Linked DNA regions of Rhinolophus ferrumequinum. The protein of the gene in region 2 purifies or fractionates together with the protein of the main gene of each other region. This does not show direct contact. Links are inferred from orthologs where the notes say so. Each region holds a gene or a part of one and is shown on either strand. Other genes may lie near its edges. The genes, in order: PRRC2B, EIF3F and EIF4B.

Region 1 (6,957 bases), on a different chromosome or scaffold from region 2:
AAAAAGATATTCAAAGTACAATAAAATAATCCTTCAGGGGAAAAAAAGAACTGAAATTTAAAAGGGAGTTGTGTGAACAGACGAACCAAACGGCATAGCCAAAAGAAACCCTCAGCCAGGCCCAAGGAACTCGACCATGCTGGAACTAGTTCTGACTCGCCATTCCTGAAATTCCACTCTCCCAAGGTTTTCTGGCTCTTCCTTCCCCAGGCTTTTCCTTTGACCCATCTGGGTTCAAAGGAGACTGGAGAGGACCAGGGAGCTGCAGGAGATGGCAGGCCCTCCCAATGGGCACACAAGGCCCCCTTCACCGTGCAGTTCCGGAGCCCATGGATAACTAAAACACACAGGTAAGCAAATAGCTTGGTGAAAGGGGCAGCAGATTCATCTCCTTCCCTAACCAACCAGCTAACAAACCGCCCAGAGCCAGACTGGGCGGGAATGAAATCAGGTAGAAAGGATGGGCCAGGAGGCAGGAAGCAGGGAAAACTGAAAGGATGACATGACCCTGTTAAAATGTCTCAGTCCCACAGCCCGGAGGCCTGGAGGAGCTTACAAGGAGGTTTGAAAAAAAGAACAAAACAAAACCAAGATGGTTGTAGCAATGCCAAAATAACCAAATTTCGCATCAGACTGCAGAAGCACTATAATCCAAGCAGTCTCGGGGCCATTTACAAACAAGCTACAGGTTTCGCCCAGAGATAACCAGGTCTCATCCCTCACCGGTGGCCAAGACTGGAGTCAATCTCTCCTTTAACCTCTGTCCTTTCTATGGACTCCTATAAACAGCTGACAGCCAGGTTTGGCTGAGCACTGTAGCTCTTCTAAGCCATTCTGGCGCTTTCAGGCAGTTGAATGGACGTGACATAAAAACATGAGCCGGAGATAGAATTTGGGGTGGGAAGGTCACAGTTCCATCAATGAGAACTGGAGAAAAAGATCAGGAATAAGGAACAAGGAACCAGAAAACTAGGTAACCAACAAAAACAACGTACATTTTCATCACCCCCTCCACGTGGAAGCACTTTGCCACAAATAGCACAGGAGGATCCCAAGAGCCCCAACAGATTAATTAAAACAAAGCATAATTATTCCCATTTTACAGATGCAAGAGCTGAGGCTCAGAGCCTTGCATAAGGTAACCCAATGAGGGCCAGAATCCAAGCTCCAAGAGACAGGCTTGCCCAAACAAGCAGAGGCTCCCCAAATGATTATCTGCCCTTCCCAAAGGAAAGCAGTTATCCTCAAAAGGCAGGACTCCCTGGGCCTCTGCTTCTTGTACTGTTCTAGCTCTGTGTAGGAACAACCCCAAAGGGCAGGCACCCGGGATCCAAGCCCAGGGACCTCGTATCACACACTCCAGGTCTATTAGTCCTGGGGGGCTCCAAATGCTGCTGTCCCCTACTTGTCTCCCACAGTCCCAGCACTGAATAAGCAAGGGGCCTGTTCTGCTGTTCAGTGTCTTGAATCCTTTCGCCCTTGTCCAGGCTAGAGCCCAGCACCTGTGGCATCAGAAGGATGGCTAGGCTCTGTGGGTGGCACCACAAATGGCTAACTTCCATCCTAGGACCTGACGGCAGTTATACAAGCAGCCGTAGGAGGGACACCTATTGAGCACCAACTGTGTGCCAGGCCCTCTGCTAGGCCCTTCACCATCTTCCCAGCCCCAGGAGGTGGAGAGTGCAATGTCCCTATTTATGCCACTGAAGGCTCAGAAGACGCCGGAGGCCTGGGCCTCCTCTGTCCCACCTCGCACCACTGTGCACGGACAGGGCTGAATGGCTGCAGTCGGATTTGGAGAAACCACGCTAAGACTTCAAATGGATGGTTACAAAAACCGAGCTGGAGCATGTGTAAAGCCACATAAAATGCACATAAAACCTTAAAGGAAAAAAAAAAATCTCAGGGACGGTTAACAATCCTATAAACCAAAGGCTTTTAAAGGTTTCTCCCAGGCAGCCATTTAGCAAATGACACACTGGAGAGCGTCCCCAGCCCCCCTTCTCCGACTTCCTTCAACCTAACCATCCGCTTGAAATACACCCCCTCTTCTTGTCTAAAGGTGGGCTCGGACCTCCCACGATATTCAGGGAGAGGGAGAAAAGAAAACACCTTCCAACGTTACGTCGGCAAATCCGCTGCTCAGAGGCCCACCATCTCAACAGTGCTGTTTCTTACTTAGAAGGGAGAGGGGGGAAAAAGAAAAAAAGGAGAAAGAAAAAAACCCATCTGGCGGGGCCCAGTAGCGACATCCTGTTTATTATTACACATTTTCAGCAATAGAGCATTAAGCATTTTCAAAATAACCCTCTTGTTCCCGCACTGCAACCGCGACGGCGTCGGCGGCTGTTACCCCCGGCCCCGGCCCCCAGGCCAGCACCCCGACCAACTTCAGCCTCCCGGGGACCGGGCTGCCGCCGGCCCTCCCGCCCAGGGGTCGCCCGACCCCGCGGGGGGCGGTTTGAAAAGTGACCAGGTGCGGTTGATGGGGGTGCGGGAGAAGCGTCCGGGATAATCCCGGGCCGCCGGGCCGCGGGGGCGGCACGGTGACTCCTGGGACCGCGGGGCCGCTCCGCACCTCCAGCCGCTGCGCCCCCGCCCGGCCCCGGCGGCGGCGTGAGGAGCGGCCCCGACCCGCCGCCCGCCGCCCGCGCCGAGGCCGCGCGGCGCCGCCACAACAATGGCGAGCGGGCCCGGCCGCCCGCCCCGGGCCCGGCCCCGCAGCCCCCGGCCGGCCGGCGGGCCAACGGCGACCGCGCGGGGCGGCCCGAGGCGGGCGCGCTCGCGGACAAAGGTCGGCGGCGCCCGGGGCTGCCGTCCGTCAGCCAGCGCGGCCCAGACAAAGCCCGGCCGCGCCGCCTCCATCTTAGCGCCGCGCCCGCCGCCCCTCCGGCCCGCGCCGCCCGCGCCCCGCGCCCCGGGCCCACCTGGTCTGGGTCCGCGGGCGCGACTGGGCCGGGCGATGGCGGTCGGGCGGCGGTCGGGCGCGGAGGCGGCGGGATGGCGGCGGATTGCGAGGCGGCGGCGCGGCTGCTCGCTCGCTCGCTCCCTCCCTGCCGGCTCGCTCGTCGCTCGCTCGTCGCTCGCTGGAGCCTCGGAGCCTGTGTCTCGCCGCTCGCCTCCCTCTCGCGCGCCGCTCCCCGCCCCCCGCCTGCCGCCGCCCCCGCCTCCTCCGGCCTCCTCCTCGCGCCGCCGCCGCCGCCGCCCGCAGCCGCCTCCGCCCGCGCAGCGCCCCCTGCCGCGCCTCCCGGGAGCGCCAGCCGCCCGCCCGCCCCCGGCCGGAGGGGCCGGGGTCCCGGGGAGGGGGAGGGGCCGGCGCGGACGACGGGGGAGGGGAAGGAAAGAAGGGGGCCGGGAGGCGAGCCGGGGGAGGGGTCCCGGGGAGGGACGAGAGGCCGGGAGACAGCGGAGGGAGCCGGGAGAGGGGGCCTGGGCCTGGGGAGACTCGGCACTGGGGCTCCGGGAAGGGAACCGGGAGAGAAGGGGGAGGGGAGGAGGCCCGCGGGAAGGGGTTGGGGCGAGCGGGTGGGGGAGGGTGGACCGGAAGAAGGGGGGCTGGGATAGAGGGGGACCCGGGACGGGTGAGGTCCAGACGGAGGGAGGGCTGGGAGCGGGGGGGTGCCCTCATCTCCGCCCCCTCCCCCTTCAGAACTGCAGCGCCTCCTGATAGACCCAGAGCGAGATTTTGTTCAAATATGTGTGTGGTACATGCAGGGAAAGGAAACCGAAATGATACATTGTTAATTCAAAAGCAAGGTTGTTGCACAATATAGATACTTTATGCCATTTTTGTAAAATGAAAAATAATAAACGCATCCCCTTGAGTGCGTATTTGTGTGAATGCGAAACAAAAGGTCTGGGAGGATGTACTCCACTCTTGGTCACCTCCGCGGCGGTGGCGGGTCTGAGGTCGGCGGGTCTGAGGTCGATCCTAGAGGGGGCGGAGCTAAGGAGGATTCTCTGGCTTCTTATTCTAGTTACATTGGCGGTTAGAAAAAACAGCTTGTCCCTCTGGCATTTGTCCATATGCCCCAGCCGCAGGCCATGCCCTCTGAAATGGCTTGGGGTGGTTTGTCTCCTTTAATCCCAACCCTGGGACAGGTGTTAACGTCACAATTCACAGGTGAGAAAATGGAGACTTGCCCAAGGCCACACAGCAAAACCTGGAAGGAAAGTCCATCCATTTCAGCCTGACTCGAGTTAAGGTTAGCACTGAGCACAGCGCCTGGCACACAGTAGGTGTTCAACAAATATTGGTTGGTTTCTTGAATGTAGGAATGTGCGTCTGGGTCTTGACCTGATTGGCTGTGAAGGAAGGAACTCTGGGACTCACTAAGAATCGGAGGTTACCCCTTTATTATTTGACAAGAGGGAAGGTGAGATGAAAAGCTTGATGGCCCTTGAGTGCTCTGGAAGACAGAGAAGAGCAAGGGGGTAGAAAGGCAAGTCAGCAAATGCTCTGCTCCTCTAGCAGATCTGGAAGGGGAATGACGCCCTCTGGGGACAGCAAGGGTTGCTAGGTCCCTGGAAGTGAAATGGCAGCAGAGGCATCACTTGTACCCAAAAACCCTACGGCTTTTGTCTGGGATTCAGGAAGTCCTTGTCTTTCTGCATTTCTCTGCGGTGACAACAATGATAGGTGCTGTTTACTGAGCACCTTTTCTGGACCAGGCATGTTGCTAAGTACTTTGCAAGAAATAACTTTATCCTTGGGAGATGGTTATTATTGTTTCCACTTTCTGGATAAGGACATGGAGGTCAGAAGTTAAGGGACCTTAGACAAGGTCACAAAGGACCTGGGTGTGGAACAAGGATTTGAACCCAGCAGTGCCAGCCTTTGAGGTTGGAGCCTTTCCTCAGGGAAGGCACAGCTAAGATGCTGGGGTGGGTATGGGGGCCACAGTCTGTGGTCAGGCTGTCAGCCAGGGCTGGCACTGGGGTCTCTCCAGGACTCTGACGGTGCTCCTCCAAAGCCTCCCAGAGCTCACGACCCAGAGAGGACAGAGGGAGAAAGGAGAAAGGAGACAGCAGAACAAGAGGGCTGGACCAAGGCTGGACCTTGAGGTCATGTAGTCCCAGGAGACTCCTCGCAAGATAAGGGAGACATTCAAGGAGACATTCTATATTGTCAAAGTTACACTAAGGAAACAGCAGCAATCCAGAGCAGGAATATTGAAAGAACATAAGGAATGAGAGGACCACGCAGTACAAAGCTGGGGACAGTTGGCATGAACCAACGAGCAAGAGTTTATTTCGTTTTTGTCAGTTTTTTCCTCTTAAGTATGAGGAAACTTGCAACTCTGCTTATGGGTGGAGAAATCTTTTCAGACTCCCAAACTGAGCCAGAGGGGGAATTCCGCCCATCCCTCGTGCCTAATGCGTATTTTATGTAAACATAATTTTATTGTTTTTCAAAACACGATCATTGTCTTTGGATACAATGAAATTTAATATTTTTTTGTAATGCTTGTCATGTATTTCCTTAGCCATGATTTTCTTTTTTAAACCATAGTATGGCTAGATGTAAATGTCCTTTGCATTATTTTCACGTGGAATATGCAAAGTCCTGTGATTCATCAGATTTGGGTCCTTTTTTACAAACTCATCTGGAAAGTTGCCTCCTTATGCTCTGTGTTCTCTTTCCTTTACTTGGGTTTCTTCTTCTCTAACCCCCAGCACACAGTCCTAGTCTTGCTGGTGACTGTCATTTCTACACATGTCTGTATCCCTACAAGACTAGGAGCTCATCCAAACAGGGTCACTGAATTGTTTATTTTTAAATTCCTGGCACCTAGCACACACTCAGTGGCACATAATAGGTGTTTGATGAGAGGTTATGGGATGAAAGAAGGAAACAAAATGAAAGGAGACAGAATCTTGAGACTCAAAGAAGGAATTTGACCTCTGCTGGTGCCATGTCCAGTCCTGGCCTCAAAGGGAAGCCAGAAAAGCTTCCACTCTTCCATTGCCTGGAGAGTCTAAGACTTTGCTGGGTGCCTCTCATCCCTCCGTCAGTAATAGTTACCACTTTTTGAGCACTCTCAGAGGAGGAAATTCAAGCACAGACAGGCTTAGGGACTTGCCCAAATTCACACGGAGCTGGTGACAGAGCTGAAAAAGAAAGAAGAGCTGGAAAGGAAAATGCACACGTGTTAAGGGCACCCACTTTCTGTATATCTCAGCCTCTTCACCATGTTTTTGTGAGTTAGGATTGTGATCACCCCCGTTTTACAGATAAGTAAACTGAGGCTCCAGGACCTTCACCCACCACTGCTGGTGGCCAGATACTGAGTGCTACTACTGTATTTAGGAGAGCCTCTCTGGTCAGCCCGACGCCAGAAAGCCCTGGCATATCAGTGTCCCACTGCAGGACAGGGAAGTGGGGGAATCACTTGACACTGTGAACACAAACACAGAACAAGCCTGTAAAGCCCTGGCTCAGGCACAGAGCCTGGGGGCAGCCCTGGAGACCGCTCACGTGGGCTCTGTTTGGCTTCAAGGCCATGCCTCCAGCCACTCTGAGCCCAAATGTTGTCCAGACATGCCCGTGCACGCAGAGGTCCAGCCAGCTCACCTACGTTTCTGAGGGAGGCCTGTCCAAGCTAAAGCCAGAAGCAGGTATGGGGTCTGTGCCCTTCTACCAGGCTTCCCCCAGCACGAATCCGTGGTTAAGAGTGCTGGATTTGGAATCAGACAGACTTGAGTTGAATCTGTCTCTGTCTTCATTTACTGTGTGTCTTTAGACAAGTGACTATAATTCTCTGAGCCTGTGAAAACCGGGAAAGGGGTTTGTTGTGAGAATTGAATGAGATGGTGTGCACTGTTGTCGGCGCAAGCTGGTGACCAGCAGGCATTCAGCACATGTTGGTTACCACTGTCATTCCTTCTTACTCACAGGCATGTGCGAGCTTCCTTTATCAGTCATCAAGTGCTGTGTAATAAACAGCTCCAAAACTT
Region 2 (7,305 bases):
CAGGATTCTCCAGAGAACTAAAGCCCTGGAGTGACCGCCAATGCCTTCCTTTAACCATCACGCGGGGCCTATTCTCCCTTCACAAGGTCTCCTTTCGCCTGTTACTTCCTGCTATCAGTCTACTCCAGACCTTGACACTGTGACCGTCATTTTTCCAGCCTCTACACTCTCTCCTTGTAATTTAGTCTGCAGGGCTACCTGGAAGATTTTAATTATGTCTACATAGACCACTCCTCTAGGAGCCTAGTCAGAGAACCGTTTAGAGAGCGTCACCTGTACCTCCCGTCAGCCATCTGGTTCCATGGTCATAACCATATCATCATCCAGGAACCCTCTACCTGTGAAACTTCATCGATGTGAGTCTTTTACCACAAACTTCTATTCTAGTTCTGGTAACTTTATTCCCACTGCCCACATGTGTTTCTGGACCTAAGACGGCTAGTCCCTTGACTTCTCTACTTTTCTCTAATGTACTGACATCTCCCATCCCAGGCTTCAAGTGCTTCCCTCCTCACCACAGACCACAATGGTGCCTATACCCGTTAGTGTCTAGTTCCACCTTACTATGGTTTCTGCCTCCTTTGCTGAAACTATGTCCTCGAACCCAGTGGATACATAGTCTTTATCTTATTTGACCTCTCAGCAGCATCCGAAAGACTTGACCACTTCAAGCTTCTGAAATAGTTAAGTCTTCTATATTTTCCATGCCACTATGACATCCTTCTATTAGAGCATTTATCCTATTATATTCTAATTACCTGCATACAAGAGTGTATCTTCAGCTTCAATTTAGGGTTAGACTAGAGCTCGTTTGATCAAACTTTGAATTCTAGTACCTAACGATTTTATAGTACATAAAGCACCAGTGACTTCATTTAACCAAATGAAATATTTTTCATGAATTAATGTCTAACTGAGAAAATGTGTAAGTTCCTAGCAAGCAGAATCCATGATTCATTCTTCAGTAAGCACTGCCGCTGTCATACCTGACCCCTGTTTGGAAGAGAATCTGAAGATCTAGATTACAGTTATTCTAACTAGAGTCATTGTACCATTTAGGGCACTTAGCACAAACCTTGGGTGGAGAATTGTTTCTTTAGTTAAATAGCACCAGTGAGTTTGGGAAATTTGACAGTGTAGCTGAAAGAGAGTAAGTATTTGTCGAGTGCCAAGTCAGTGATGCAAAAATCATTTATTACAGAAGCTCAAAGCAGGACAGTCACAGAATGCTACCATACTTTGGGAAGTTAAGAATGAGGGTGAGGGTGAGAGTATGGGACGTAGGACCAATACTGAACACTTTTCCTGGAAGATGAGTGGAACTTGAACGGACAAGTGAGAGCAGGGAAGGCACTTGTGGCAAAGAAAATACAAACGCTTGAGAAAAACCATGGCAATGTTCGGAAAATAATGGATTGATTAAAGTTTCTGCAAAATGCTACTTTCTCAAATAAAAAGAGAATGTGTGTGTGTTTCAGGGGTGGTATAGGCCTGACATGGTGCAGGTTGGCAACCAACAGCCGTTTCGTACCTAATGTGTGCCCACAGTTTCATACCTAATGTGTGCCAGCAGTTAGATGCTTTCTGTAGTAAGTTTTCACAAAGACTAAGTCTAAAGTAGCCCCTGAAGGAAGTAGACTTTAGGTTATTTGTCCCAAGGCACAAGGCATATATTTGATGGAATCTGCCTCAAATTGTGTCCTCTTTGTAATACACCTATTGTTTTCTATGGTAGAAGGACTATTACATGTTCAAGAGTAAGAAAGAGAAATGATGCATACAATTGGAGTGGATGCACAAAGGGGTCTAAAATTTGTGACTTAGATGGAGTGAAAATGAATTTGATGAGACCAGCAGAATCCAGAAAAAGGGATAAATTACCAGTAATTCCTCTTTAGTGCGTCTTGGATTTACAAATTACTTTTAACATAAAATATCTATTTCCCCAAATTTGGGACATGGGTAGGGAAAGGTTATTCTTTGATTTGAAGGTTAAGCAGTATCATAAACATAATACAATTGTTTGTATCCAAATGGAGAATCAGAGACAGCTCTGGGGGAACAGCATCTACGAATTAGGGAGAGGAAGGGACAGGGGTTCAGGCTTACACACTTAGTTAATCAGATTATTACTGAAATTCTAAATGGGTTCCTGCCAAATCGGTTTACTTGCTGAGAGGGATATCTCTTAACAGATGCTCCCTTTGCCAACTGGTTAGAAACTTCTTTGCAAACACCTAGAAAATAAAGACATTTAGTAGATAAGCGGGAAAAAACGTGGTCACTGGGGAGTCAAGGGTTTTTGCCTTACTTAGCATTGGAACTCACTTTTGGTAGACTGGGGCTGATCATACTTGACGTGAAATGCTACTGGGAAGATTAAAATGTAAATGGCTCGGTACACGATATTTACTTAATACAGAACTACTCTTCATATACATTATGTTGCACAAAGTGACAGCAATCAGGCAAGAAAGTTCAAGTTCTTTGGGAAGATGAGTCCCAACAGGACGGTCCAATGGAGAAACAGGTAAGAGATCAACGCGGATGTGAAGAAAGGGGAGTCAGATAAAGGAGAGGTGGGAGGTAGAAGAAAACGTCAATTTTCTCTGACCACTTACTCACCCAGCAGGGTCCCGATAACTCGGGCAGCACCCTCGTTGCGTCGCTCGTAGCTGTCCACGATAGAGGCCAAAATGACAGGGTGCAGTCGGACCACACGGCCGCCGGGGAAGGGGCCGGGTAGAGCAGGACTAGCCAGCGACTGCGCCGGGGTCTGCGCTGCTGCTGGCAGTGAAGCCTGGGTCTGGCCCGGGGCCGCGGTCGCAGCCGCTGCTGCCGCCGGGTCTGGGGATGAGGATGGAGCTGGAGTTGGAGCTGGAACCGGCACTGGAGCCGGCGCCGGCGCTGGAGCTGAGGCTGGGGCCGGGGCTGGGGCTGAGGCTGGGGCAGCAGCCATGGCTGGGGTCGGAGTGGTGGGAGCAGCACTCGCCGGTACCGCCGGTGTGGCCATCTTGTCCAGAGAGAAGGAGCCTGGAGCGGAAAAGAGTAAGCTTGGAAACATTAGGAGCACCATAGGCTGAATATGCACCACGTGAACAAGGTCTTTGTGCCTATTGGTTACTGATGATGCTTCTCACGGCACTACAATTTCCGGCTCCGAGTTTGTGCTCTTCGATCTAGGTCGACGCGCATTCAGTGAGACCGAGCTAAATAGTTCCGAAGAAACTTGGGACCGCACTGGGAGAAGAGAAGCAGCTCCGTCTGCATAGTTGTCGCCAGATGGAGCCAGAACGCTGCACAAGTGTCGCAAATCGTGTTTTCAGACTTCAATGGGATAATGGCTGTCACGGTGCCTTATTATAAAGGGCTTTGTCCTTGACAGGGTCCTAAGGTGGTTTATTCATTAAATAAAATATGTGCCAGAGGCTTTTTAAAGGAATATATTAGTAAACAAAACAAAAATCGTTGTCCTTGAAAAGTTTACATTGTAGCGGGGAGAGACAAATAAGTACATTATATATGTTAGAAGGTAGGAAGTTCTAAGAAAAAGGAAAAAGTAGCGGAGAGTAATGGGTAATGAGGAGTTGTGAGGAATTAGGGTGGATCACAATGACAGTGTGAGATTTGAGTGTACTTGAAAAAGGCGAATGAGGTGGCCATTATGAAGTGTGAGGGGAAAAGAGCTTCCAGGTAGAGGGAACAGCTAGTGCAAAGCCCTGAAGGCAGGAGTAGGCCTGTTGTGTTTGAAGAGGCTATTTGGCAGCTGGAGAGTTAAGATCGGCCTGGAGCAGCAGGAGATGGACCCCTAAACAGGGATTAGAGATCATTAAAGACCTCCTAGGGCACAGTATGGGTAAGGACTTTCATTTTTAGTTTGAAAGAAATGGGGAACCATTGCCAAGTTTTGAGCAGGGGAGGGTCATGATTTGTCTTAGTTTTAAAAGGATCACTATAGCTGCTTTGAGAAAAATACAATAGGGGGCTCGGTTACTGGGGAGAGGCAGACGAGAAAGAGCAGAGGGACATGGTATGAGATTACCAAATCTAAGAGAGATGACGGTGGTTGGCACCAAACCAGTAGCAGTGCAAGTGGTGAGAAGTGGGCAGATTACAGGTATATATATATTTTTTTTTTTTGTAAGGAGGGCGCAGCTCACAGTGGCCCATGTGGGGATTGAACCGGCAACCTTGGTGCTAGTACCAACACCGCTCCAACCAACTGAGCTAATCGGCCACCCCCTACAGGTATATTTTAAAGGTAGAGACAACAGGATTTTCTGAGAAATTGTATGCGAGGTGTGAAAGAGAAAGTCAAGGATGACTCCAATTTTTTGTGCTGAGCAACTAGTATGAAGAAGTTGTCAATAATCGAGACAGTGAAAGCTACAAGTGCAGCAAGTTTTTGGGAAAAGATCCCAAGTTCATTTTTTTCTTAAACTTTTGTTTTATTAGTTTCAGGTGCACAAAACAATGTAATAGACATTTATCATTTATATCCCTCACACAGTGTCAACCCCTATCGCCCCACCCACTACCCCTCTGACATCGTACACAGCCATTACATTTCCACTGTCTCTATTCCTAATGCGGTACTCCACTTCTTGTAACTATATATATGTATACACACACACACACACACACACACACACACACACACACACACACACACATATATAAAATTGTAGTTGACATTATTGTTCCGCTTCAGGTGTATAGTGCAGTGATCAGGCATCTATATCATCCCTGAGGTGTAACGAGACAAGTATCCATCAGATACCCTACAAAATCTTTACATTATTGATTACATTCCCCAAATTGACTTTCGTATCCCTGTGGCCATCTTGTGGTTACCGACTGTGCTCTCTAATCCCCTCACCTTCCGCTTTATCCCTACCTTCCCTCCCATCTAGCAACCCTCAGTTTTTCCTCTATGCCAAGTTCATTTTTGGATGTATCACCATTGAGATGTATTATTATTATTATTATTATTATTATTATTATTATTATTATTATTATTTGGTAGCTATTATTGTTGCTATGTGATGGAAGGAACTCTGATCCTAACTTACAGTGTAACTCTGGGCAATCTATAATTTTTTCTGAGTCTCCGTTTCCTGTTTGGTCTAACGGGGTTGATAATAGCTGCCTGTCAGGAAACCTATCAACTCCCTTAATTAGGTTAAGTCCCAGCGTCCAGCTGTCAAGGTGGATGGGGGATTTTGGGCTTCTTAGCCCCAACTCTTATGCCCAAGAACTGCTTTCTCCTTGGAGCTACCTTCTATAATTAAAATTCACGTAATCCTACTCCCGTCAGTGCTCTGGGTAAACATACATATTCTTAGTTCCCTCAAACACAGGTGAACAGCTTATCAGAGGAGGATTGAAAAATGACTCTTGGATTTGATGACCTCGATTTTTAGCAACCCTAGTAGAGCACTGTCAGTGAAACTGAAGGTGGGGTGCGCTTGGAAACTGGAATTCAGGTGTGAGAGAATGGTCAATTTGAATTGATGGCAGTAAGTGCTGGCTACTCTCTCAAGGAAGTTGCTGGGAAGGAAAAGAGACATTTAAGGCAGTAGCTGTGGAAAGGGGGACAGTTTAGGCTGGAAGAGTTTTAAGTATATTTTAAACGAAGAGTAAGAATCTCAAGAAGGGAGAAAGATTGAATATACAAGTGTGAGCAAGGGAAGCTATCTAATGAAACAAAGCAGGAAGTGGGACCCAAATGGAGAAGCCTAGATGAGAGAAATGGTCTTGGGCAGGACGAGGGATATGTTGGAGAGAGACTCCGGGATATGGCCTCCTTTATGGGTGCCATATGGGGGTCTGCCGTAGCCCAGGGTGGTGCCGAGATCATTCCATGGGGAGAAATTCAGAGGAGAGCACCATCCCCAATGAAGAGGTGTTGCTGTCTCGACCTGACCACGCACAACCTTGGTACTTCCCATTCGTATGTTGATTTGAGTTGGGTGTGGACTCTTCACCACCCTGAACTTTGCCTTTGTATCGATGGTCTAAAGACCTTTCTCTCTGGTAGGAAAGGAAAAAAACGATGGATGAAGAATCGGAGACACTTTGAATTGGAAAGAGAAGGGAGTTGCAGGAGCTCTTGTCAAATGATGTTTATTTTTTCTCAGGGAAGCGGAGGCAAAGTGATCTGCTGAGAATGGCAATGGATAGATAGATCGGGTTCAGCCTTGGAGCAAAGGGCAGTATTTGGAAGAAGGGCCGAGAGTGAGCCATCAAAGGCATTGAACAATTATGGGAGGGCCCAGCTGAGCCTGGAGACCTCAAGGATCTGGTCAGCTTTTGTATTTTCCTCCAGCCACATAGCTCAGGGGCAGAAGGAGGGTGATCATTGGCATTGTCTTCCTGGGGATGCTGATTGGCCAGGACAAGGGAATGCATACTCGTACATCCAGGATGCTGAGGGATCCAGGCAGGCAGAACCCTATTTATGGAGTGCATAAATGTGTGTGTGTGTTTGAGGTGTGTGTGTGTGTGTGTGTGTGTGTGTGTGTGTGTGAGAGAGAGAGAGAGAGAGAGAGAGAGAGAGAGAGAGAGAGAGAGACACAGAGAGAGAGACCCATACCCATCAGCTAGCTTCATCTGTCTGTCTGTTTCTCTCTCTGACTGTTTTGTCCGCTCATTTCTCTCTTGTGCCTCTTTGTATATCTTAGCTGACAGTTTCCATCCTTGGTCTCTGTTTCTTTTGTCTCCACCTCTTCCCTTTTTGGGACTGTTATACCAGTTGTCAGTTCTGCCCACAGCCAGACCAGGGTTAACAGGGAGGGAGGCTTCATTTCATTTCCTGCCTCTAGCCTCCAATTAAAATTGGTTATTTTGCATATCATTTCTACTTCCTTTAGGTGTGACTCTCAGTCCCTGGCCCTGCGATCTCCAGACTGGGAGGCTTCTAGGGGAGGCAGACCTGAGAGTCTTCACAGTAAGTGGCTTTACTCGTTTCTTCTGTCACATGGTCTATGTGGCTGTGTCTCACTCCATTTTCCCATCTTGGTCCCTTGGGCTTGGTTCTTTGCTGTCTTGCTTCTGTCTCTAGCCATAGTTTGGTTAAGGCTCTGGGACAGACCAATCCCATTCCTGCCTGTTTTCCTGGACTCTGGGAGAACCTGCTGAGCAACGGGCACTGGAGCCCTGGAGTGGGAGGAGAGGTACCTGGGAGACAGCCACCTCACAGCCTGCCTAAGCCAGTCCTCCACCCTTAAGGGATGCTCTTTCTCATCCTTTGTGCAGAATATAGGGACCGCCAGACACGATTGTCCCCATCTTCTGACCACAAAC
Region 3 (7,953 bases), on a different chromosome or scaffold from region 2:
CCCACTCTAGTGACTCCCTGAGACCATGCCTCACCCAACTTGCATACCACACGAGGCTTTATCAGTGGCCGAACCTTAAGGGAGCCAGCAGGTGGTAGTAGGTCTCAAGGTGTCCTGGCTTTTTGTAGAGCTACCTCAGGCCCAGCATTGGTGGCAGCCATCCTCAGTTTACAGCATGGCCTCTCTCATGCGCCTCCAGGTTTAGCACAGACAGCGAGCAACCACTCCAAAGTGGCAGGACCACTTTGTAGCTCCTACAGCTAGTCCCCAGCTGGTCACAGGCAGTGGGTGACCTAGGCCTGCACCAGAGCCCCTTGCAAGGGGCCCCAGAACCAACATACTTGGAGGTTGGCTTCAGACCATAGCAAAGCACCACCCAATTAGCACCACAAATGGCACACCCAAAGGGTGGTCTCAACAGGCCAGAGCCCACTAGGATGAACCCATTCAGTGGAGTAAGCACTGCACAGCAGCCTATAAGCTGTGGACATGGCCAAACCCCACAGCCAATCAGCCTGAGGGTCAATCCCATCCAGTAATATGCCAATAGCAATCAAGGTTCAACTACAGCAGGAGGGCACACACAAACCACACAAGGGACACTCCTGAAGCACCCAGAGCAGGTGACCAAGGAGACTGTGGCAGGGCCCCACAGGGCACCTCCTGCATAAGGCCACCAGCCAAGAGACATAGGAGACATAGCAGATATACCTAATACATAGAAACAAACACAGAGAGGTAGCCAAAATAAGGAAACAAAGAAATTGTGTCCCAAATGAAAGAACAGGAGAAAACTCCAGGAAAAGAACTAAACAAAATGGAGGCAAGCATCCTACCAAAAATACAGTTCAAAACAATAGTTATAAGGATGCTCAAGGAACTTAGAACTTCAAAAAAAGAGACAGCAAGCATAAAAAAGGACATAGAAACCATAAAAAAGAACAAGTCAGAAGTGAACAATCCAAAACTGAAATGAAGAATGCACTAGAAAGAATCATCAGCAAACTAGATGAAGCAGAGGATCAAATCAATGATTTGGAAGACAGACAAGGTAGCAGAAAACACCAAGTCAGAGCAGCAAAAAGAAAAAAGAATTTTAAAAATGAGCATAGCTTAAGAGACCTCTGGGACAACATCAAGCATAACAACATTCACATCATAGGAGTACCAGGAGAAGAGAGAAAGCAAGGGATTGAGAGCATGTTTGAAAAAATAATGACTGAAAACTGTCCTAACCTGGCAAAGGAAATAGACATACAAGCCCAGGAAGCACAGAGTCCAAAACAAAATGAACGCAAACAGGCCCACGCGAACACACATAATAATTAAAATGGCAAAGGTTAAACATAAAGAGATAATCCTAAAAGCAGCAAGAGAAAGGCAACTAGTAACTTATAAGGGAGCTCCCATAAGATTGTCAGCTGATTTCTCAACAGAAACTTTGAAGGCCAGAAAGAATTGGCACAAAATATTCAATGTGATGAAAAGCAAGGACCTACAACCAAAGTACTGTACCCAGCAAGGCCGTCATTTAGAATCGAATGACAGATATTAAAGGACAGATAATAAAAAGGATCCCAGATAAGAAAAAGCTAAAGGAGTTCATCATCACCAAACCAGTATTAAAAGGAGTGTTAAAGGGACTTCTTTAAGACGGAGGGGAAAAAGATCAAAATTATGAATAATAAAATGTCAATAACTATATATCTATCAACAATTACTTTCAATGGAAATGGATTAAATGCTCCAATCAAAATACATAAGAGTGCTGAATTGATAAGAAAACAAAACCCTTTCATATGCTGCCTATAAGAGAATCACTTCAGATTGAAAGACACACACCGATGGAAGGCAAAAGGATGGAAAAAGATATTTCGTGAAAATGGAAACAGACAGAAAACAACAACAAAAAGCTGGGGTAGCAATACTTATACCAGAAAAAAAAATAGACTTTAAGACAAAGGCTGTAACAAGACAAAGAAGGACCCAATAATCCCACTTCTGAGTATTTATCTGAAGAAACCCAAAACACTACTTCAAGGTACCTGTGCATCCATATGTTCATTACAGCATTGTTTACAATGGCCATGATGCGGAGGTAACCTGGGTGTCTGCCAATGGAAGAATGGATAAAGAAGAGGTGGTACATATACAGAGGGTGCCAAAGAAATGTATACACATTTTAAGAAAGGAAAAAACTGTATTAACATTGTAATACTCAATATATACTGATAACAAAAATGAATACAAGTCATGTGTATACATATTTTTGGCACCACCGGTATACAATGAAATATTGCTTGGCCATGGAAGGGAATAGATTCTTGCAATTTGCCAGTGGCATGGATGGACCTGGAGGGTATTGTGATGAGTGGAGTGTTAGACAGAGAAAGATAGATGCAACGAGATTTCACTTATGTGTGAAATCTAAAGAACAAAGTAAACAAATAAAACAGAAATAAACTCCTAGATACAGAGAACATTTTGATGGTTGCCAGAGGAGAGGGAATTGGAGATGTGAGTGAAAAGGGGGAAGGAATTAAGAAGTACAAATTGGTTGTTACAAAGTCATGGGGATGTAGGGTATAGCATAAGGAATATAGTCAATAATATTGCAATAACTATGTATAGTGTCGGATGGGTACCGGATTTGTTGGGGTGATAGATGGGAGGAGGTCTGGGGGCAGGATGAAAAAAGTGAAGGGATTAAGAGGTACAAATTGGCAGTTACAAAATAGTCATGGGGATGTAAAGTAAAGCATAGGGAATATAGTCAATAATATGGTAATAACTATGTATAGTGCCCGGTGGGTACTAGACTAGTCAGGGGGATCACTTCTTAAATTATATAAATGTCTAACCACTATTCTGTACACCTGAAATTAATATAAAATAATACTGAATGTCAACTGTAATTGAAAAAATTTTTGAAAAGGGGAACGGAAACAAGAGGTCCAGATTTCCAGGTATAAAACAAGTCATAGAGATGTAATATACAGCATAGGGAATATAGTCAATAATATTGTGATAGCATTGTATAGTGTCAGATGGTTGCTGGATTTATCATAGTAATCACTTCTTTAGGTATATAAATGTTGAATGACTATGATGTACCCTTGAAATAATATAATATTGTATGTTAGCTATATTTTTAATAAAAATCTTTTTAAAAACATTTTAATTTCCCTTAAAATTGTAAGTAAAACAAATATTCGAGTCAAAGAATATGTTTTAGTGTATAATATTAATATATTTGTCTTTAAACCAACATAATCATAAAATATAATTTTTAATATTGTTTTTAAGTAGAAAGGTGTCTGTGAAGGAAAAAGTGCCTAGAGTCCATGAAAAGTTATAATGGTGTCCTGTCATCAACAATCTTTTGCCTAGTCTTTCCCTTCCATTACTGCATCTGTATAATCCACTCTCCATTCAGTAGCCCTGAGTATTCTTCCTGTGGGTGTTTTGTGTTTTTTTTTTTTACATTTAAGTATAACTTCTGTAAGTGCATAACTCTTAAGTGTACTATGCGATGAATTTTTACATAAATATACACTCATGTAACCACCACCCACATCAAGATACTGATCTTTTTCAAAATTTTATTTCAAGTCATGACATTCTCTTGTATAAAATCCCTCCATGCTTTCCCAGCCCACTTGGAATAAAATCCAAACTCCTAAACCTGGTTTACAAAGCCTCACATTATCCAACCCATACATATATCTGGAACTTCATCTTGTACTACTCTCCCCACTCCCTTAACATACTCCACTGCCTTTAAACTCCTCAATTTGCGGAGCAGCTGGTCGGCGTAGTGGTTGGAGCGCGGTGTTCATGGCACCAAGGTCACCAGTTCGATTCCCACATGGGCCAGTGAGCTGCGCCCTCCACAACTAAACTGAAGAAACAACAATTTGACATGGAGCTGATGGGTCCTGGAAAAACACACGGTTCCCCAATAATCCCCAATAAAAAGCTTTAAAAAATTTTTTTTTAAATTCCTTAAGTTGCCAAGATGTTCCTACCTTGGAGGTTTTGATCTAGCTATGCACCCTCAGCTTTCACCTAAAACTCTTCCTAAAGTTGTTCACAGGGTGGGCTATTTGTAATTCAGATCTATTTAAATGTCACTTCCTCAGAGGCCTTCCCCAATTAGGCAATCTAGAATTACACCCAATCATCTTTTATCAAATCACCTTAATTACCTAGAGTGCTTATCGTTTATAGTATTTTTTCCTTCACTGCTTATTGTCTGCCTTTCCCTCACCGAACTATAACTTCCTTTGGGGCAATTTCGTTCTCTTGTACTCAACAAAGCCAGTAATAGTGCCTGACACATGGTAGATGCCCAATAAAATTTTTCATTGAATGAAATTCTAATATATGATAAAATGTAGCATTAGCTAGAGAAATCATAGGTAGCACTCCTTTCTGAAATTATAGGGCCTGAGTTTGATTTAAACCAGCCAGTAAAATGGAGGATTAAAAGAAGTAAAAAAGAAGTAAAAACCGATGGCAATGAAGTGTTCTGTATTTGTTACTTTTTTATTCCTTCTAAATATGCCCAATAAAAACCATCCTTACCCAGGATAGTGGGCTTGTTTTGCTTCAACAAAAAGTGATATAAAAAGAAATTCGGAATCTTCGCTTTCATAAAATCAATTGAAGCACACCGATTCCAGGTTCCAGACCGCCTCCATTCGGTCCAGAGAACTGTCCTAGCCAGCGGGGCCCCTCCCCTTCCGTTTACCCCCACCGGCCGGAAGTCAGCGAAGGAGACCCCGCCCCGTACTCAGACCCTGCCCCGGGTTCGCGCGTAGCCCTACGTAAAGCAGTACAGGTTTCGCGACAGCCCAGGCCCCACCCCTTTGGCCACATGTCGCGCAGGTCTTCCGGTCGGACGCCGCGCCACCTCCTCGCGCTGCTTTACGAACCTAGAGCAGCACCGCCCCGCCTCTCTGTTCTTCCTCTTCACCTCCCCGCCCCCTCCCAGTTTTGCGTCTCCTAGTCCGACGCGCCCGCTATAATCACGTGATTGCCTCATCCGGGTCCTTTGCGTTCTCTCTCCCTCTCCCAACATGGCGGCCTCAGGTGAGTGAGCGGCTGAGCTCGGCCAAGGACCGGGCTCCCAAGCCACTCTCCGAGCCTGCTCCACTGATCCCCTGGAGTCGGGGAGTGGGCGGCACCACTTCCCTTTGGATCTGGGAGCTGCGGCAGGCTGGCGGCTTGGCCGTGTTAGGTTTTCGCCTCGGGATGTTTGGGGGGGAGGGGAAGGACACCCTCCCCCTCGCACTCTTTTCACCCCGTCTGCGCGAGGTTGGAGCGGGGAGTAATGATGGACTCTGGCTTGAGTTGGAATGAGGAGGAGGCGCAGAAAGATCTACAGGGGGCGTGAGGCCTTCTCATAGATGTGAAGCACTGTGCCCGCGTGGAGGAAGGAAGGAGGCGGTTGGCGCGCGGACGGGTGCACACTAGACTAGGTCCCCGAGGCGCGAGGCCGTTGCGGACAGGAGTGGGGGCAGGGGAAAAAAGGGGGGGCAGTTACAACACGATCGCGAGTCGGTGGAGGGGCGGAGGAAGGCAGCGGTGCGCGTGCGCGCTAGGCGAACCGAGGGTAGTGGAGACGGGCGCGCCTTAAAAGCACGCGCGAGAGCGCAGATGGCAAGATTTTACGCGTCTCTGTTGGTTTCTTTTATATCCTTTCACTTTCTATTCTTCATCTTTTAGAATGGGCCCGGCCCCTGTATTCTCCCAAGGGATATATGTGTTAGGTTTGGGGGTTGAAGCTACTAGAGTTAAGTGGGGGTAGGGAACACATTGGTGCGCCCACGTGTTGGGGAGGAAGCAAGGCTAGACAGATTTCTTCTAGGCTTTTTTTCCTTAATTCAATCAACACATTTTTACTGAGCGCAAACTATGCCAGGCGCGGTTCTAAGTGTTGGAGATACAATGGTGAACAAGCCCCGATTCCTTGACAGCTTCCATTTTGATGGAATTTTTATAGCTCCAGTGGTGGTGTTCAGCCCTTTTTTTCTTTTTAAGATAATTGAACGACGGTTAGGAGGTGGTTTTAAAATAATGCTAGTGGCTGGAGTTGGTTCCTGATTTAGACCTCTTAGGGATAGGGAATATCACTCATAAAAGTCCACTTGCATTTCTGATGCACTTAGCAGTGAGCTATGTAACATTTTGTAGTATTAATTTTAGTTTGGGGGATTTATAGTCGACACTCCTTATCAGCGGATTGAACCATGGGGATAGAAAATATTGGGGGGAATGTTAAGTTGTTCCTGATGTGTGCTGTGTAGTTAGCCTATGATAGTAGTCTGTAGTGAACATGGGTAGACTTGTCATTATTCCCTAAATACAGTATATAAGAACTATTTACATAGCATTTACATTGTATTAGGTATAAGTAATATTGAGATGATTTAAAGTATATGGGAGGATTGTGTGGGGTGTGTGCAAATACTATGTCATTTTATTAATATATAAAGGACTTGAGTATCTGAGGATTTTAATATTCAGGGAAGTCCTGGAACCAATCCCCCTACGGGTTTGGCAGATCAACTAATTTCTTTTCCCTGGCATGACCCTGCATTCTATGAAACATTTATCGAACCCTTGCTATCTCTGCACATTCACTTCCCACCAAGAATTATCTTCTCTGTTATTACATAGGATACTAAGGATTATGTATGTCTTTGGAAAACGAGGGAATTGAGGTGTATTTTAACATAATACCTTTCATTGGTGTAGCACTGGACAATTGACCAAGCACTTTTGTGTCTATTGTCTCATTTGATGCTTTGTGAGATAAATGTAGGCAGGTAATATCTACCAGATGAGGAAGATGAAATTATTTGTTCAAGGTCACACTGTATGCACATGGCAGAGCAAGGTCAAAGTCTTTGAGACTCCTGACTCTTCATTATCAACTTGGAAATAACAAGGTTGGCTTCCATATCATAAGTTTGGGGTGCTGCCCTAAAGCTTCATCTGAAGCTTATTTGGCCTGGATTTACCATCTTAATGGCTTAGTGTCATAATTTAGTGAAAAGCCTATACTCCCCTTTCTCCATAACTTTTGTGGAATTTTTAGAAGTGGAAGAAACGTTAGCAATCCGCCTTAGTTTTACAGAGTTGCGTGAAATCCAGACTGGTTAAAGGGATTTACTTAGTGATGTCTCCTCCTGTTCTTCCATATTTACCCACTTGGAAACCCTCATCTCCTTAATCCCATAAATCTTTAGATTGTGTAGTATGTATAAGGGACACTATGCTAGTGTCTGAGCACAAGGTTACATCTGACAGTCTGTCCTTGAGGAATCTGGGATTAGCAAAATTCTTTCCTCACCTGGAATCTTTTCCAATCAATTGCATTGACTTTGATAAGTGACCCGTATTCCCATATATTGGGCACTCAACCAATATGGCTGTACTAAAACTATAAAACTTTCAGTGTGTGTTTTCAGTATACTTTTTAATGTCAAATTTGTTAGATACAGGTTAATAATTTTTGAGACTAAAATGCTTTGAAATTGGAAATCGTGAATGGATGCCTATAGAAGTTCTTTCGTTTGTATAACACTTCAAAAATGCCATTATATATAGGATCTTGTTTCATTGATTTTTTTATGGAGAGGATGGTGTCCAATGGTAGTTTTCATGCATGCTGACCCTTATAGTTAAAAGTAGTTTCATTGGTTGCCATTTATGCCGTTTACATATTAACCTATTTTCAAATCCCATCCTTTACCATATGTTATTCTGGGAGTAAGATAACCAGAATCAGAATGCCAAGACTAAAACTCCCGAATACAGGGAGTAGTGTCAAAGGAAAAGAATATTTCTAAGTAAAGTCATTTAAGTATATACTTTTAAACAGCTTTGAGATATAATTCACGTACCATATATGTATATCTGAAAACATCCTAGAATTCTCTTTTC

The links.
Region 1: the proteins of EIF3F (region 2) and PRRC2B purify together in Homo sapiens (affinity purification with mass spectrometry; 3 studies listed by BioGRID and IntAct, counting the BioPlex papers as one, with this or other methods). This does not show direct contact. The link is inferred for Rhinolophus ferrumequinum from reciprocal best matches to the Homo sapiens genes EIF3F and PRRC2B.
Region 3: the proteins of EIF3F (region 2) and EIF4B purify together in Homo sapiens (affinity purification with mass spectrometry; 3 studies listed by BioGRID). This does not show direct contact. The link is inferred for Rhinolophus ferrumequinum from reciprocal best matches to the Homo sapiens genes EIF3F and EIF4B.

Annotation. Positions count from the first base shown.
Region 1 is NC_046295.1:79,364,630-79,371,586, reverse strand, and holds the start of PRRC2B (protein PRRC2B), read right to left. Parts: upstream 3,080-6,957; 5' UTR 2,928-3,079; intron 1-2,927.
Region 2 is NC_046294.1:43,958,053-43,965,357, forward strand, and holds the start of EIF3F (eukaryotic translation initiation factor 3 subunit F), read right to left. Parts: upstream 3,034-7,305; 5' UTR 3,014-3,033; coding exon 2,626-3,013; intron 1-2,625. UniProt on the Homo sapiens protein: Component of the eukaryotic translation initiation factor 3 (eIF-3) complex, which is required for several steps in the initiation of protein synthesis.
Region 3 is NC_046293.1:52,974,710-52,982,662, forward strand, and holds the start of EIF4B (eukaryotic translation initiation factor 4B), read left to right. Parts: upstream 1-4,948; 5' UTR 4,949-5,081; coding exon 5,082-5,094; intron 5,095-7,953. UniProt on the Homo sapiens protein: Required for the binding of mRNA to ribosomes. Functions in close association with EIF4-F and EIF4-A. Binds near the 5'-terminal cap of mRNA in presence of EIF-4F and ATP.